2 linked regions of the Schizosaccharomyces pombe genome follow. The protein of the gene in region 2 purifies or fractionates together with the protein of the main gene of each other region. This does not show direct contact. Each region holds a gene or a part of one and is shown on either strand. Other genes may lie near its edges.

The links.
Region 1: the proteins of ssp1 (region 2) and pho84 purify together in Schizosaccharomyces pombe (affinity purification with mass spectrometry, with the first as the bait; one study listed by BioGRID). This does not show direct contact.

Annotation. Positions count from the first base shown.
Region 1 is NC_003423.3:4,441,840-4,446,703, reverse strand, and holds pho84 (inorganic phosphate transporter), read right to left. Parts: upstream 2,604-4,864; 5' UTR 2,453-2,603; coding exon 734-2,452; 3' UTR 504-733; downstream 1-503. UniProt on the Schizosaccharomyces pombe protein: High-affinity transporter for external inorganic phosphate.
Region 2 is NC_003421.2:1,876,576-1,883,115, reverse strand, and holds ssp1 (calcium/calmodulin-dependent (CaMKK) protein kinase Ssp1), read right to left. Parts: upstream 4,670-6,540; 5' UTR 4,403-4,669; coding exon 2,444-4,402; 3' UTR 1,801-2,443; coding exon of another isoform or gene 1,390-1,800; 3' UTR 1,077-1,389; coding exon of another isoform or gene 1,044-1,076; 3' UTR 806-1,043; downstream 1-805. Other genes in the region: SPOM_SPCC297.05 (diacylglycerol-binding protein), read right to left, coding at 1-348; histone lysine methyltransferase Set7, read left to right, coding at 1,044-1,076, 1,390-1,800; aro2 (chorismate synthase), read right to left, coding at 5,630-6,540. UniProt on the Schizosaccharomyces pombe protein: Involved in actin localization and thus in polarized cell growth.

The sequences.
Region 1 (4,864 bases), on a different chromosome or scaffold from region 2:
AAATTTTCAGTTACATTTATCAAAGTCTAATCAATTGTAAATTTAAGTAGACTATATGTCACTCTGATTTGTATAAAACGAATGCTTATGCTTTCTTATCCAAATGGAGATAATAAGTAGAAAGAAAGCAACAAACAGTTAATCAATGAAAACACTCGTACCATAAATTTAAATTCGCGCATGCTCTATAAAATAACTTTCTAAGGTATAGCAAGCCAAACTATGAATCTAATTGTAATTTAACATTTAAAATTTAACATAAGGCTTTTCTTTTGCATGCCTAGTTTTCCTTGACTATTAATAATTTAACACAAAGTAGAGTAAATTCACATTCCCAAATTTTGTAAAAGAATAGTTCATTAGGGGGGCTATGCTATATATACCTTTTTGCTAATTAGCACGTCACAATAATCGTGACTGCTTTACCTTAGCAACGCCTACCTTAGTTAGCTAGGTTATACTAATAAAGTCTATAGCGAGAAAAAGCATAGAGAGCGTTATTTCGTCAATTTTAAAATTTTTATTAATTATCGCTGAATAAACACAAACTAACCGAAAACTGTCCCCTTTTATTAAAGCAAACGAACAAAACTAAATATTTGGCCAAACCTGGTAACAGAAGCAGTAACCAAGGTATATTAAACTTTTCAAAAGACGAAGGGAATCATGTTTTAAGTATTATAAAATTATATGTACCAAGAAAAAAAGCAAAGTATGCGGCATTATGATTTAATTAAAAGATTCCATTAAAATACCAGCTCTTCCACTTGCTATCACATTGAACTTTGCCGTCCTTGCCATAAAATAATTCCAACCTATCAATTTCATCAGCATCACGACCCTTTGTTTCAGGAAGCAAAAGTGTGAAAAGAATGCCACCCCACATGCATCCGCAGAAAATCCACATAACGTTACCATATCCAATAACACCGGTCAAAAAGTTAAAAAGAAGTGATGCAAGAATAGCGCCACATTTACCCAAAGCAGCTGAAACACCATGAGCAGTACCACGTACGCGTGCAGGGAAAACCTCAGCGGGATAAATAAAAGTGGTGGAGTTGGGACCAAAGTTAGAAAACAGTTGGGCAATAACAAAACAAGCAAATCGACCACCAGTGGAAATTTCGTTCCAACGTCCTGCCAAAATTGCAAACATCAAACCAGTAATCACGAAGCCTTGTAGTTGAATCCATTTACGTCCAAGAATTTCAACAAGGAAGACGTTGAACCAGTATCCAGGAACATAGCCGGCAACAGCGATAATCAAGTTGCCAATTGCGTTTTTCATCAATGTGCGGTATTCGTTCGTACCAGTACTGAAGCCAATATTCTTGAGAATGACAGATTGATTAAGATTGACACCGTAAAAGGCAATATCCAACAGAAACCAACAAACAGATGTACCCAAAAGATGCTTAAAATGACGCCATTGTCTGAAGTAAGTGATAAATCCACTGCTGTTTTCAGGGGTTGTAACTGCGGCAAATTGTTTTTCAATGTTATCAACTTCAGCGTCAGCAGCATCTGCTTGATTAGCATAACGATCAGAAGCTTCGACAACCTCGGAGTCACCATGGCTAGATGACTTCTTCATATTGTCCTCATCATCGGTATTGAAGAATGCCTTTGGATCTTTTCCTTCAGCACTATTAAGTGCTTTAGAATTCTCGTATGATTTAGATTCTTTCATGATGAGACGGGGAATAAGAACACCAATAGCAGGAACCAAAGCAAGACCAAATTGAAGACGCCAGACACCTTCGAGTTTATGATAATGACCTTCCCGATTCAATGGATGTTCGAAACAACCCAAAAGGATGATGGTAACAATGGCACCAGCAAGAGTTCCGAAACCTTGGAAGGCAAAAATTAAAGAAATAAGTGTACCACGTCGTTTAATTTTACTACGCTCAGAAGTGATAGCGGCAGACATTGGATAATCACCACCAATACCTACACCGAGCAACCAACGCCAACAGAAAACCCACATCATTTTCGAAAGAGGAGAATGAATGCTTTTAGGCATAGCGATAACCAGAACAGTAGCGATGATAACAATAACCATTTCTTTACCGTAGACAAATTTACGGCCAAAGAAATCACCCATAAAACCAAATAACAGTTGTCCAAAAATGTTACCAATATTGGCTGACGCATTTACAAGACCACGAATACCAGAGGGATAATGGCCTTTTCCTGTGGGACCTTTTTCAATACCACCCCAATAAAGATATTCAAAAATGGGAGTAACTAAATTGATGATAAAAAGATCGTAACTGTCAAGGAAAAACCCGACACCTGCAAGCATCATAAGTTTAAATTCGCGCTTTGTCAACCCCAAGTAATAGCGACGCTCTTGCGCACCCTCTTCGACTTGGTCGAGAGGTACTGCATCGTCGTTATACTCATCAGACTTAGATCCAATGTTTAAAATTTTGCTCCCAAATGCCATCTTGTGATTTCCTTGCGTTCAAAATATGAGAGAAAAGGAAAGCAATGAATGATAAAGTAAGTCTTAATCGCTGCTTTATGCAAATTAATGAAGTCCGAATGCGGTTGCAATTAGAATTAAGAAAACTGAGTACCGGTGGTTTACACACACAGATAATTCAGTATGCAATGGAGCAATATATATAGTAAACTACCAGTTTGTCAGATTGGTGGCTTTGTTATAGAAAAAAAATTAATAATTAAGATCAAAAGCTTTGGTGTTGACGTTCCCTGGCAACCGGCACATTCACCACCTGCTTAATCTTATTTCAAAACAAAATAGCAAAACAGGAAGAAATCGGAAATGCAAAACACTATGTTTATAAGTAAACCGTCCAATTTGCTTTGTAACTGATATGAATCCAATAAGGAAATATAAAAAAATAGTAAAAAAATATTAACAATTAAAATTTTCTATTTCAGGATTAAGGTAACGCGGTGTTAGAAAACTGAGGGAAAGTAATGGGTCAATTTGGTTTAAGATTTGCACTTTAAAGTAAAAGAATTAGCACTAGCGGACAACTGCAAAAACAGACAATTATACTAAAGGGGTATCAGTTCATAAAAAAGTTGCAAAAGTGGTAATACCCTCGTTAGACCCACTCGGAAATCTTAAGTTAATAACGTTGACATTACTAATTGAGACAAAATTGTAGTTAAGAGACAAACTCATACTGCAGAGAACTCAATACGGTATGCATTCAAAATGAAATTTGCGAAAATAAAAATCAGTATGTCATTATACAATACAGAATTGGCCCAAGTAAAACACGGTTTAATCGTCGAGCTGTTTGGTTTTTTCAATTCCATGGAAAGCACGCGATGTCGTTGTTTTAAAACCAGTAATCGGCCGGTTTCAAAAGTATACATTCCAGAATACCACGGATTGATGCTGTGTAGCTCAATGCATGCCCACACACAGAACACCCGGATAAGTTGGTTCCGATATCCTCCAACCCGATAGGATGTTGGGTGATAAGATTTCTTTGACAAAATAGACATCAACAAAGCATGCATGCTTCCACTTCCATTAAACTCGGCGAACGGAAATGCCGCCATCCTACAAAATTCCCCTCACCTCTCCTATTGTCGGTCTTTGAAATTAACAACTACCAGGTACCGAGCAGAATGTTCTGCACGGAATTGACCTGACAACCGGCATCCGCACAAAACAGCCACTTCAGCAATTTCGGTTCCAAGTATGTTCCATTCATGCACGTAAACCGTAGTTTATTTTAGGAACCTCAGTTTACCGAACGCTAAAATTTATTAGGCAGCATATACTGCCGAAGCAAAAAGATGAACGGATACGAGGATTTTACCGCCCGCCACCCTTCAACAAGTGTAATGGATATAAGATGATTTGATAGTATTCGAAAATTTTTGAATTTTCGTGTCGAGTAGCAAATTCCATTGTTTTACATTCTTGCTATCTAATTAAAAGCAACGATGAGTTAATCTTTCGTGCATTATTCTAGTTCGACAAAACGCAGAATAATTTTCAAGAAAAGACCGTGGAAACTAATTAATTATTATAAGGACAGATGTCGATATTAATAAATTTCAATTTCTAACGATTTTCATAGTTTAATTTGTTATGAATTAATTCTATCTCATCCTCTATGACTTATTTCGTTCTATTTCATACTACCAATGCGTTTAAATTAAAATTAAAAATTTGAATAGTTAGGTACTCAGGCTTCTTATATAGCTATTGATGCAGTGTGTGACGTCATTTTTTTAAATTGAAAAAGGGGGTTTTTGACAGGGTAAGATTGTGTACCGTTCGGTATGCAAACTGAACTGGAAGATTGGAAAAATTAAACCCTTTTCTGAAAATAATAGGAATTAAGTTAGGATAGTCGAAACAATTTCTTCCATATAACTATCGTGATCAGTCAAGGGCAGTTTACTAATTTATTTCCAGCGTCGTATATTGCCGAATTCACACGCATTTTACTCACATCGTTCGAAGATAAAAAAAATATAAATAATAAAAATTGAAATTCGTGTAAGCGAAAAGGAATGTGTGAGAAGGATTTTGGACTGTTCTATTCTCATGGGAATGTGAAGTAACTACTCTCTTGCTACCATAGTTGCTTGTTGTGACTTGACATCGTATAAGTGACTGTAAATTAGATGCCGGCTCCATGTCGCACAATAAACCTTTTGAGAGAAAATAAATTATGACATTCCTAAGACTCGGCAATTTTGATTTGTTATTTTTTTTTATTCTCTCAACATTTCCCTAGATTCACAGTCGAGAATGATACGTTGATACACATCCTTTCACGGTAATCTGCAATCCCTGTTTATGGTTTTACATCGTCCTTCGTAATTCTTGTCTTTCTTATATATATATGGAGGAGTGCGT
Region 2 (6,540 bases):
GCTACGACGATGTAAGGACGTAACGGAGGCATGGTCAAATGAATCCTTTTTTTTCTTGGTCGGTGTGTTAGATGTTGAGTGATGATAATCTAAAAACGGCTTCTTTGGACCCACAGAATTGGATCCAGTGGTGTTGTGATGCGCAAAGGTATTTTCTTTATAAAAAGAAGACTCAGAAGTGATTGACACTCTTTTTAATGGCGACTTCCTTGTATTGTTTTGGATGATAGAACTAGAAACAGATATGGCGTCTTCATCAAGTCTATCTGCTCGAAATTGAGAATTGGATACACTCACAAATCCGTTAGAGAGACCTGCGAGAAAGAAATGATCTGCGATACTTTCCATTCCACTCGCAACTTAAAGCATCGTAAATGATCGCAATCGCATATGCAATAATTAAGGAAAAGATAACTTGTTTTGTAGCTTATATTATATTTTTGAAGAATAAACTTACTAAATATGCCACAAATCGATTCCACATAAATCGTGCGAAACTTTTTTCGTAAGGAATTGGGCACTTCAACGCTAACAGTATAACTATTCCTACGCACTTTCCAACCTGTTCAAATGCCAATTTAACTACAGATCGCCAATACCTCAAAAAGCATCCTCCATACACTAAATGGAAAACGGTAACTTGCGACTGTTTATGCAGCAAAATGTTCGATAGAAAAACATAGCGCACTATAACCTTTTATCTACTAAAGTGAATATAGCAACGTACCATGACCCGAAGTATCACCACAATAGGTTTAAGGAGTCTTATAGCTGCCTTATTTGGGAAAAATAAATTTTTTCCTATTAACTTACTAACTATTTTTGCCATTCGTATATGTGAAATAAGTTCCTTGTTTGGTTTATTTCTATTAGAAATTACTAATTTAATATATGAAAAAAGAAAGACATCAAACGTGAGCCCAAAGAAATCAACTCCCTGGCTCATCTATAAAGACACGAAACATCTAAAATTAAGTAATTCACAAAAGGTGTAAGAAGTGAAGCACACCGATCATTAAGACAGTTGTCAAATTGATTTTGTAATGCGGATTCCTGTTATTCGTAGTCCGCTTGAGGTAAGGTATTGTAGGATAGCTAGAAGATAGAAGAAAGTTAAAAGTCACTTTAAATTAACTTTTTTGTGTTTCGATTCATTTATATTTATTTGTGTGAATTTTGCTATGAGTTGAGTCAGACAGTAGAAAAAGCAAATGTCGAAGATTGTTGTTGTTGTATAATCGAAAGGGTAATGTTACGGATCAACGATTCACAGCATGATTCATAATCATTTATATAAAAGAAAACATTTCACATTCTTTTCTTTTCTTTAGTAAAATCAGTCGACAGACTGAACGATTGTGTCTAATTATAAGTTTACTAACGCTTTAGATTCGTGATACAGAACGAAAAGGCCGAGGAGTATTTGCTCTTGAGCCTATTCCAGCACAAACATGCATTGAGATTAGTCCTGTATTGATGTTCAGCAAAGAAGAATATGAACAACATGGACAGTATACAGTTCTTAACGAATACACATATGTTTGGAGCGAAGGCAAACAAGGATTAGCTCTAGGACTTGGAAGTATGTTCAATCACGACCGTCATCCAAACGTGTATTGGAAAAAAGACAATCGCAATAACTACATCTCATATTACACATTACGAGAGATAAAAACAAATGAGGAACTCTGTATTTCATACGGAGATCATCTGTGGTTCGAAGACGAAGCATCATCTGCTTCACGAATAAGTCCAAACGAGGAAAATGAAGATTTTCCCTTACAAAATATTAGTTTATAAAAATTCTTCATACGTCCAATTTGTAGGCTTTAGAAGATAAAATTTCTCAAATGGTAGCAATATTGCTGTCTGTCTTCTAAATCACACCATACAAAAGTTGCCCCACTTCACCTATATTCAATAGATTTGTATCACAACAGCACATAGAAGAAATTACAAACTAGGTCATAAAAAAATAATAAAATGATATTTATTTCCTATGCCAGGAATAAGAAGAATTCATCAAAAAAACCAGTTTCAACGTCTAATCAGTAAATTTTTTTTGCTCATAGGAAAAAAAATCACGATATACGAGGTAAACAAAAGGCACATTAGATAATAAAACATTTTAAAATAAACGAGTAAAACGAGTGGAATGCGCAAGAATCATCAATAAAGTCACCTTTTTTCCAAAAGACTTGGAACCTAAGCGTCTTATTTAGAAAAAGGAAAAAAAAAGGCTTCTCTTGAGATGGGGCAAACATATAGGACAAATAAAAATCTAAAAGGTCCGAATGACATGATTTGATGAAAACGAATGACAAAGTGTTATTGAACACTAGGTAAAAAGCCAAGAATAAGAAATGAGTAATTAAAAGACACATGCAACCTACATTGCAAAAAAAAAACAATTGAATAAAATTGGGAAATGTTCATACAGCACTCAATTAGTTGGTGTGAAGGAATGCTCAATGCAGTAGATAGGTGTGTCAGAGCCCCCGGCTAAATGAAGGTTAGGTGATGATACAAAACCAGGAACCACTGGATGAAAATTGGACGGATTAGCATCATAATTCTCATAATTACGAAAAGTAACGACAGGCATTCCACTTTCCTCATGCTTCGCATTTGGAGATTCGAAAGAGGCTACATCATCCGTATCCATCGACGTGCGACTATACGTTTCGAAATGACCGTTAATGGATTTGGAGACTTGTGGAATAGAGTCGCCGGTATTATAGCTGCAAGCATCATCAGCATCTTGATTGTCATTGGGAAATGCCTCATAGTCCCAGCCAAAGTCACATCTAGGCTTTTTCTCAGAACTATTACGACCCATTTCGACAGGATGTACTTGCTTTCTTTCACGATCCTTCTGAGACTCATTCACCGCAAGCCGATTAAAAGAATCGGACAACTCGGACGCGGATAAACCAATTGAAGAATTACCAGAGCTCTCAGGCCGACAAATGGAAGAGTCGGAAGGAACAGAGGAGGAAGAATCAAACACTCGCGCTTTTGGACGGCGGAAACGAAACAGCTTACCAAGTTTTCTGCGAAGACGACCCACAAGGCTGATTGCAGAAGCAACTTCGTCTGTAGAAACCTCAACACGACTGACGGTACTGGGATCAGTGTTTTGCAACCATTTTTCAGGATCCTTCAAGCCATCCAATGTCCATGGGTGAAGTTTTACTTCTACAAGTGTTATACGTTGTTCAGGATCTTTGCATAATAATCTTTTAAGCAAATCTCGACCCTCTTCACCAATGTCGGGTGTAGAAGGGATGTTCAGACGCTCATTGACGATTTTGTCAAAAAGCTCATACTCCATGCTAGCATTAAATGGACAACGACCAAACAAAAGGCAAAACAAAGTAACGCCTAAAGCCCATACGTCTATTGCTTCAGAAATCTTAGGCCTTGGGCGATCCAAATCGGTCCAGCACAATTCAGGGGCGAAAAAAGCAGGAGTGCCGACAGTTTTTGCAAGCTCAACGTCGTTGTCTTCATTCAGGCCAGCGTTGGCAATGTACGAAACACCAAAATCAGATATTTTGACACAATTAGAAGAGTTAAGGAGAAGGTTGGCGGGTTTAATATCTCGATGAATAATGCCTTGGTAATGTAAATACTCTAGACCCAAGACAACATCGCGAAAGTATTGTCTTGCCTCGCTAATCGAGAGTACGGGGGAGTCACAATCTGTCCATGGCACTTCCCCACCACTCATGTACTCTAAAACAAGATACACCTTCGTTGAGGATGGATCGTCAATGACCTCGCGCAAGCGGACGACATTAGGATGGACACATTTCTTTAAGATGGCAATTTCGCGACGAACTTTTTCCTTTTGACTGGAAGCATTGGCTCGGCCCAGTTTCGGACGACGTTCCGTCTTCGGGATGATCTTGATCGCCAACAGTTCGCGGGTAACGGTATCACGGCCAAGCTTGACTTTACCGTGCATACCACGTCCTAGTTCTTTTATAATCTCATAGTGGTTAATGTATTTACGACCCGAAAACCGATCAAACCGCTTTCTTATCTTTTTTGTTTCCTTCACCTCGCCCCATTCTTGCAGGCGCTTCCACTGGCGCTGAGCCTCTTGAAAATTATCAGAATAAAGACGCTGGTTATGCTTACCAGGTTGAAAAGTCCATGAGTGAGTTAACGAACTTCCTTCACGTTCTCCGCCCAACGGGGCTATTACATAATCTCCCGCGCTGTAGTTCCGTTTACGAAATGAATCGGACGTTTTCTGGATGGCCTTGTGGACGGGATATTCAGGAAAGACAGAAGGAGGAACTTCGCTATCGTCTACCTCTGGATGCCAAGTATTTTTCCGTAAAAGACGTTGTGGCTCAATTAAAGTTTTTTCTTCATTATTCACTGATCCCATCAGGAAGTGTTCCTCGAGTCCTCTTAAATAGCTTCAATAGTCAATAAGTACATGAATTACCGGATTTACTAATCGAGCTTTTCCTCTATCGGGGACTAGGCAACTCGTATTTCGGCGGGGCTATAGTCGTAAAGCTACCAAGCTAAATGACTCTGAAATTTATTTCTTCTTTAAGACTTGTAGATTTTTAGTAGTCCTCAATCTCCAAAATTGATTAATATCTTGTTTAAAATCAAGCCTACGTTATACTGGTGGTTGGAAAAGGTTAGGTACATCTATACCGTAGCACGACACCTGGTGAGGGATGACGATGAGCACTTTTGGAATGATCATTTTTGCGAAGTACCTTTCACTATTCCGTATTACACTACTATACGTAATCCTCCTTTTCCAGATAGTAGACGGGATGGTTGCTATTTCATCATAGGTGGGACTAACGAGAAGTACGCCTGAGAAGAAGGCTTCATAATAGAATACTATTTTCTTACAGAGGTTTTTTGGTACGTAAAATGTGTGGAACATCAGAAATATTCTATAACAAATTTCGATTATTCAAAATATTACTTTAAAACAACTACCACTTTTTCTCACAAGTATGGAAACGTTGATAGTAAAACCCATAAATCCAAAGATTTTTTTTTTTACATAATAATAATCCTTTACTTCATCTACAAGCATAGACGATGTGCCGATAAACGGCATTAGCAAAAAAAATTTTTTGCAACATGACCAAACTGCCGGTATAATATATCATAATTGCATACACAGTGTGTAAGTATGAATACTTAGATGAGAGAAAAATCAATGGCAAGATTAAAAGAGAATGGCAAAAGCTATATTTGGTCACCAATTTAGATTGTGTACCGCAGGTGTCTGTGTAATAAACATGAAAAAAATCTGCATACAAACAAACATCAATTGCTAGTTGAAGAGAAGGTCTTATACTCTTTGCAACACTTCTTTAGTTTTTCTTGTGTATTAAATTTTTTACTTTTTTTAAAAATATTCATTTATAATCTTACACACTATATTGACAAGTATCTGTTAAATATGCCTTAATTTGTGTTAAATTTACCCTCCAAAAAAAATGTACATATGTAATCTAAGAGACAAAAGGTATATCTAATCCTCTCTTTTTGGCGCATCAAAATAAGATAATCCAGTAGGCTAACTCAATTGAAGTGAGATTCTTGCCCCCAAACTAGCTTATTTTTAACTTTTTTTAATTTATTGAGCATTGGGGAGTAGGTTTCGAGAGGCAATACGACTTTGTTGAATCATGACAGCATCCATAACGACAAGAGCAGCCATGGCTTCAACGATGGGAATGGCACGGGGAACAACACAGGGATCATGACGACCCTTGGCAGCAAGAACACCGTCACTACCATCGTAACGGCTAGTTGACTGTTCTACGCCGATGGTAGCAGGAGACTTAAAGCCAATGGTGAAGTAAACGTTTTCGCCATTGGAAATACCACCTTGGACACCTCCACTGTTATTGGTCAAGGTACCAAGCTTGCCAGTATCAGCATTTCGGTAAAAAAGATCGTTATGCTTGGATCCAGCAACTTTGCAGCCTTCACGGCCTGAGCCAATTTCAAAAGACTTGGTGGCAGGAATACTCATCATGGCATGAGCAAGCTTGGCCTCAAGTTTGTCAAAACATGGTTCACCAAGACCGGTGGGAACATTACGGATCACACAGGTTACAGTACCACCGATGGAATCGTGGTTATCACGAGCTCGAGTAATACGTTCAGCCATCTTGGCGGCCGTCGCAGCATGAGGACAACGAACAGTGGTTTTATCGACTTCCTCTCTCGTAATTTTATTGAGGAATTTCAGATATTCAGCGGTTATAGGAGATTCAAATGTATCATCCTCTGGGTCCAATATGGCGGAAGAAGCGGTTTCGTGCAATGGAATGGCTATTTTGCCTACACTGGAAACAAAGGCAACGATTTCGACACCATAAGCTTCTAAGAGATACTTTTCAGCAATTGCACCAGCCGCGACTCGTCCAATGGTTTCACGGGCACTGGATCGACCACCACCCGAAGATGCCTTGACACCGTATTTCTCCAAGTAGGTATAATCAGCGTGAGAAGGACGAGGGTAGTTGTCCATATCGGAAT